Danio rerio: one gene and its partner. The protein of the gene in region 1 binds, or shares a complex with, the protein of each later gene. Links are inferred from orthologs where the notes say so. Each region holds a gene or a part of one and is shown on either strand. Other genes may lie near its edges.

Region 1 (3,758 bases):
TGGCTCGTTACATTCACTCCGTGAGGATTTCTCCCAATTTGGATGGACGCATGTCATCACTCAATCGTCAAGGATTTTCGTAGGAAACACATACACTGATTCACAGTCATTGAACTACGTTTTACATTACATTCAGGACTTTGAAGTTTCATATATATAAATATATGTTGAAATTGGGACGTTTAGACAACTGAAACTGTATTTTCCTACTTCTGTATAGTTTTATTTTTTTTTCAAAAAGGGCTGAATTGCTGTCAACATATTGTATTTTATTTATTTAATTTTGTTTGTTTTGAATACATGAGTATGTTTTTATAAGGGCTGAAAAGCAGTTCAGATACAGACCAGAAAATTTGCAATACAGCAAACTCAAAAGTATTTTCTTGTGTTTGGGTTTTTTTATTTTTTTTTATTTGAGCAGTTGGAGATTATAGTATTAATAATATGTAAAATTTGACCACACCATTCAATAATATATTGTGTCGTTAAGTTGAGATATCCCGAACCCGAGATTTCAAGTAAATTGTGTTGAAATTTCATATATACTTTAGAAAGCTCAGACCCAGTAGATAATTTTCCCCTTTTCAGTAAATCAATTTCATAGGTGGGTTACAATAAGACAAAATTAATGATCGTTATCCTTTTGTAAACCCTTTTTCAAAACAATTTATTAATTGTTCTAATCGATTTTGTTAACTTTTGAACACAAGCAGACATAACGTTACAATAAATGTAATTGACGTAAATCTACTCAATCAAAATCCTCTGGAATAATTGCTAATGTATTTTTTTAACCCTGTAACATTTCCTAAAACGCTGGGGACGACGCTCTATGGTCAAAATGAATCACTGAATCGCCTTGACACCGGATATTTGAACTGTTCGATTGAATCTATATTCAAACGATTCAAACCCTACGCACTTCTCAAATGCTATACAACTCTCTTTCCTTCCTTGTTCGTTTACATAAAACAAAATCAGTATTTAAAGAAAGCAATAGCTGTGATATTGCTTAGAAGTTGTGATACTTCTAAGCAACGCGCACTGTTTTTTGTACGAAATAAAGCTGCGCATTGTTTTTTTTTTTTTTTTTTTTTTTAAAGCTGCGCATTGTATCTACGCTGTGGCGTAACGTCTGACGTCATTTACTCGCGCCAGCAACGGGAAACAAACGTGGAGAAGAAGCATCACATTAGCGGATTGTTTTGATCGTCAAAATTTGGTATTAATCATATTTATAGCGCAGTATGGATGACGAGGAAGAGACATACAGACTATGGAAAATTAGAAAAACTATAATGCAGGTAAAGAAAGACATATATGCTTTATTTATAACGTTTCGCACAGTTTAGTGATGCTTGTTCCGGTTTACTATTGAATGGATTTCATGTCTTTTATAAAACCATACACATTTAAATAACAGAAATAACATGATGTAATAACAATGTTGATATTTAACCAACAGCTTTGTCACGATCGCGGATATTTGGTGACGCAGGATGAATTGGACCAGACTCTTGATGAATTCAGGAGTCAGTTTGGAGATAAACCGAGCGAGGGTCGACCACGACGAAATGACCTGACAGTCCTGGTGGCCCACAATGACGACCCGACCGACCAGATGTTTGTGTTCTTCCCGGGTATGTTTTATTCCGCAGCAGCCCTATTTATTTAACTAGTCCGAGATAACAAGGAGTGGTTATTAGGTGAAGTTGGTTTTATATTCGGACAATCTCCTTAATAATATAATTTCAGAAAAGTATTCTATGCTAATTCTAAACAGGGAAATCATATTAGCAGCCAGCTACTATCAAATACATCACTGTTAATTAAATAGTCAAATAGGGCTAATGTTGTTTTAAAGTCATACTTCCATGCGATTGCAGACTGAATATTCAAAGCATCATGGTAAAAATGGACAAACGTGAAACCAGCTTTACCTCAGTGGAGTGGTTGATCAATTTTGTATTTACGTTAAAGAGTTTAAATATATTGAAACTTCAATTTTGCTTTCAGAGGAACCAAAGGTTGGCATCAAAACCATAAAGATGTATTGCCAGCGCATGCAGGAGGAAAACATCACCCGCGCCATCATTGTAGTACAGATGGGCATGACACCCTCCGCCAAACAGGTGCAACTCGCACATTTACTAATGTTTACAGTTCTAATGTCGAGCACTTTACAAGATAAATACGTTTTTTTATCTCTCTCTGTCACATTTCAGTCTCTGGTCGACATGGCACCAAAGTACATACTGGAGCAGTTTCTTCAGCAGGAGCTTCTAATCAACATTACAGAACACGAGGTGAGGAGACTTAAAGTTATAGCTCACCCAAAAAGTGAAAATTCTGTCATCATGTACTCACCCTTGTTCCAAAACTGTTTGAGTTTATTTCTTCTGTTGACAACAATGTTGGAAAGCAGCAGCCATTGACCTGCTGTAGTATTTTTGTTCCCGTTAAGGAAGTCAATGGCTGCACGGTTTTTAATTCACTGGTGGAAAAAAGCACCTTAATGTTGTATCACTTACTGTTAGTCCAAAATCACATTCGGAGAACTATTATATTTTTAGCTGATGAACAATAAAAAAATCCACAGCCAATCAGAATCTCCTAACTTAAAAAGCCAGTTTACACAGAAATAACTCTTCTGACATCATTTAATCTCCGTCCACTAGTTTCTAGCGTTGAAGTTTCTTTCTTCTTTTGAACACAATGGGCTATATGCACACAGACTTTTAATATGGTTTCCGGTGCCTTATATATATATATATATATATATATATATATATATATATATATATATATATATATATATATATATATATATATATATATATATATATATACACACACACACACATACATGATATAAAGTGCTATAAAGCGGTGTGTTAAATTATTTTACCTCAGTATTTTGAATGGAGTTTCTGCGCTAGCCTGCTGCCATTGACAGCGCTAGCAGTTACACAGTCTATTATCTCATTTTATGCTTGAACTACTAAATGAATGCTTAAGTTTATTTAAGGGATTGTATTTCAATTACATTACGATGTTGTAAAAGCAACCTTATAAATAGTCACAAAAACCTTTTACTGTTGGTTTAAAAACACTAGCTGTTCATATTGCCCATTGAAGAATGATCCATTGAATTCCACTGTATAATTTGGTTCTTTGTGAAGAAAATCTTGTTTCTCTTGATCAGAGATGCCCAAACTCAGTCTTAGATGGTTTAGATCCAACTTGCTTCTGCACTCATGCCTGGAAGTTTCTAGTAGAGCTAGTAAGAGCTCGATTAGCTGGTTCAGGGGTTGGAGCCAAACTCTGCAGTGCCGAGTTTGGGCACCTTTTTTTTTCTTGATAATTAATATATTCATCATTTTTGTTTTGAGCACTTTTTTAAGATGCTTAACACTTTTATCTAATTATCCTTTGCAATAACTATGGTTTCATGTATTTCAGCTTGTTCCAGAGCACATAGTTATGACAAAAGAAGAAGTGACTGAGTTGCTGGCGCGGTAGTATCCTTTCATGAAAGATGCTTAAGTTTACAGCAGTGTTATTTTCATATTTCTATGGTTTAGCTCAACTTTGTGTATTATATATGTTTAACTCCAGTTGGATAGTTCACAGTACATGTAGGTCACCTTAACCAGCGCTTCTCCAGTAAGCTAAAGGAAAGCCAACTTCCCAGAATTCAAGCTGGGGATCCCGTTGCACGTTACTTTGGCTTAAAAAGAGGCCAGGTAGGAAATCAG
Region 2 (3,758 bases), on another chromosome or scaffold:
TCAGGCAACCCCTCATATGAAGTACATGTGCAGAGAATAGGACACTGCAGTTTGAGATTTCTTTTGTAATGTCTTTGCTACAATTGGGTCCTCTGTGTTTGAGATTTTGAAGCACATTCTCCTCCAGTGGATCATGTGGTGTGGTCAAACTGACCACACAGCAGATCCCACACATGATATCACTTCACTATATATCTTGATATTCTTTCCGCATGTTATCCAGGTCCTCTGTATAACAGAATATTATGACAATGTTAGAAGAACACACTCAAAATGGTGGCATTAGTATTGTATTTATGTATCATCTATCAAAAAAGCAGAAACAACTCAAGTATAACAGAAACACTTACGTTTACAAGAGCTAAGGGTTTCTCCTTTGTCTGCCAGAAAGAATATATTGCTGTTGGGTTGCTGGGTGTACACTCTCTGTGAATATAATCTTAGTATTACTGGAATGTGATGATATCAAGTCAAGTTGAGCTTTATTGTCATTCCACTACATGTGTGATCTCGGCATGGGACGGTAACCGGTTTCAAGGTTTACCGCGGTTTGGAAAATTCAAGGTTTTAATCCCAGTAAATTGTTCTGTTATACCGTTCCCAAGTTATATGTAAAAGTTTTTTTATATATTTTTATGTGTTGTATAGAAATCTACGTTTTTCAAACTAACGAATAGAGCAGAAGTCAAAGATTTATTTTAACTATTTAGCCTGACATGTTTACTGTTCCAAAATATTATGTTCCTTAAAATAAATAATTTGTGTTCAGTGGGGAAATTATAAATGTTTGTTCTATTTTACCCATACATTTTAAAAAAGAGAGAGCAGTAATCACTTTCACAATACTGTGATACCGTGGTATTTTTATACAAGGTTATCATACCGTCAGAAATTTATACCGGCCCATGCCTAGTGTGAACATACAGAGAAACTAAATGTGCAGTCTCCCAGGACAACGGTGCTACATAAATTAATCATAAATACAAACACAACTCTGCACATAAGAGCTATTTTAAAAACCTACGCATAACTATAAGATACTTCACTATACACATGGACTGGCTATAGAAGTACTCTAGAAAATCTCCACAAAAATGGGCCAGAAATGAAACTCAGTCCTATTTGCTTCATTTACAAGTCTGCCATAAGAAGAACACTGACTTTGAGGTAAATTATCTTAAAATAATAAATTCAATAGTTCAAAGGAATTATCCAATTTGAATCCCCATGGGTTAGAAAATGGCAACAGATGATACATTTAAGGTACTTTATAAGTTGATAATTTTGTCAAGCTTAAATTCTACTTTGCTTTTAATTGATGTCAAATAAACTGTTTCACAATTACGTTTTATCTTTCATAAATTTAACTGGAAAAATATCTCTAAACATCGAAGGAACTTCTTAGTTGATATTTTTAAATGTGAATGTAATTAATATCATGGTAAGACTTTATTTTGATGGTCCCTGTTGCACATTTTTCTGACTAAAGTTGTACTGCAACTAAATGCCAGTTACTTCTCATTTGGGTATTAGTAGACTGTCTGCTTAATATCTGCTGATACTGCTGCTTTCAACATTTCACTGACTAAGAAACTTTGCAAGTACATGTCAATTTACACCAACCCCACCTGACAGTCTACTTATAATCTATTGCGAATTAGTATAGTGGAGCATAAGTTCATATATTATATTGTATGCTACACTAGAAAACATTTTAGTATATATTGCCTTCTATAGCGATGTGGTTTGACTTTGTTACATCTATAATTAAGTGAAAGCATCTGCTACACCAAATGCAGAATGACTCTTGATAATATATAGAAAGTGACAAGACGATATGACGTTACATACCCTGTTTTTCTTCAAGTTACTTAACTCGTCCACAACAATCTTTTGCTCTTTTATCTGCGAATGAATAGTTATGTTTTTAGGATCATCAAAAAACAGAAATTACTAAACATGCTTAACGCGTTTTACTGGTGTCAACTGTATACTATAAATTACAAAAAACATATATGATAGACAACCTTTTGGTTCAGCTCCTCTTTTTGTGCGCGCTCTTCTGAGGCCCCAGGCTCAGTTCGCTGTATGTTCTTGGAGGACATTGTTTATTAATACGCTTCAGATCATTTTTAGGGAAACATCTCCACGAGCAAGTAACTCGTTCGTCGCACAAGAATGACGTATGCGCCAACGACGCTTTAAAAGTGCGTCACGTAATCCTAACCCCATTATCCCCCATAAACAAAGCCTGTTAAAGAATAATGTTGGGTGGATAAATCTGCAGCATCTAAACAAAGACGCGTTGTTGAATGAAACAGGGAATCTAAGTAATGTGGTCAAATACGGTTCAAATACGTCGAATGCTTTCAAATAGAGTTTTTACCCGGATATTAACGACTTTTCATCGCGAAACAGCGGCTAGCCCATCTATCTAAACCTGATATTATCATATTATCTTATATCATATTTTGCCATTCTTCTAATGTACGATAAGATGGTAATAAACAAAGCCTATCATAGCTCTAGGCGTACATTATCTTATCCAAATATTTTGGTTTATCCTCAGTAATTTGAGAGCTATCCTAAAGAGGATTGTTTGCATTTAACTTTCAAGATGAACAAATAATGCTCATCTTAATGGAAAAATTGTTCAGGGTGTCCGCAGGGACTTTAAAAGTCTTACATTTCAAAAACAACATTTTAGGCCTTTTAAAACTTTACTTAAAAGGGTGTTACAGGTCTTAAATAATTTTAAACAGGTGTTAATTTTTTTGTCCATGTAAAGCTATTTAATCGGTACAAATAACAATTATTCTAAAAAAACAATTAACTAAATTGTATATTCTAAAACTCTTTACCAATTTGGTTCAATTATCTTTCTTAAAATAAACTTATTTTGTTTATAAATAAGTGTTTGAATTGTAATGGGGCAAGTAAAAACAAATTGCACTGGTCCTTAGAAAACAAGTTTGACATTCATTCATTCATTTTCTTTTCAGTTTAGTTCCTTTATTCATCAGGGGTCGCCACAGCGGAATGAACTACTAACCTATCCAGCATATGTTTTACACAGCGTGTGCCCTTCCAGCTGTAACCCAGTACTGGGAAACATCCATACACGCTCATTCACACTTATACACTACAGACATTTTAGTTTATTTATTTCACCTATACTTCATGACTTTGGACTGTGGGGGAAACCGGAGCACCAGAAGGAAACCCACACCAACATGGGAGAACATGCAAACTTCACACAAAAATGCCAACTGACCCAGTCAAGACTCGAACCAGCGACCTTCTTGCTGTGAGGCAACAGTGCTAACCAATGAGCCACTGTATCCCTCCTAAATTTTGTACATAGGAATAATGCTCTAAAGTGAAGCGAAGAGAGGGGTGGGGGGTTGTGCATGAACCCCGAATCATATCTCTAGGGGCCCCCAATATGCGTAAGCCCTTTAGGACTGTCCTGACCCTACCACAGGGGTGTCCAACCTTGGTCCTGGAGGGCCAGTGTCCTGCTAAGTTTAGCTCCAACACACCTGCTGGGAAGTTTCTAGTATATCTAGTAAGAGCTTGATTAGAGTTGGAGCTAAAGTCTGCAGGAAAGCGGCCCTCCGGGATTGAGTGTGGACACCCCTGCTCTACCATCTTTAAAGGACTTCACAGTCAAAAAAATAATAGTTTGGTAATAAAACAATGTCTCATGGGGTTCTAAACCTTTATGAGTTTCTTTATTCTGTTCCACAACAGAAGAT

The links.
Region 2: polr2eb (region 1) and asdurf share a complex: the UniProt entries of both Homo sapiens proteins name them as parts of the PAQosome complex. The link is inferred for Danio rerio from reciprocal best matches to the Homo sapiens genes POLR2E and ASDURF.

What each region holds. Positions count from the first base shown.
Region 1 is NC_133197.1:17,299,414-17,303,171, forward strand, and holds the start of polr2eb (DNA-directed RNA polymerases I, II, and III subunit RPABC1), read left to right. Parts: upstream 1-1,156; 5' UTR 1,157-1,247; coding exon 1,248-1,304; intron 1,305-1,465; coding exon 1,466-1,640; intron 1,641-2,016; coding exon 2,017-2,132; intron 2,133-2,225; coding exon 2,226-2,306; intron 2,307-3,462; coding exon 3,463-3,521; intron 3,522-3,667; coding exon 3,668-3,746; intron 3,747-3,758. UniProt on the Homo sapiens protein: DNA-dependent RNA polymerase catalyzes the transcription of DNA into RNA using the four ribonucleoside triphosphates as substrates.
Region 2 is NC_133184.1:42,816,981-42,820,738, forward strand, and holds the start of asdurf (ASNSD1 upstream open reading frame protein), read right to left. Parts: upstream 2,181-3,758; 5' UTR 2,106-2,180; coding exon 2,028-2,105; intron 1,906-2,027; coding exon 1,852-1,905; intron 427-1,851; coding exon 351-426; intron 229-350; coding exon 188-228; 3' UTR 176-187; coding exon of another isoform or gene 1-175. Other genes in the region: asnsd1 (asparagine synthetase domain-containing protein 1), read right to left, coding at 1-175.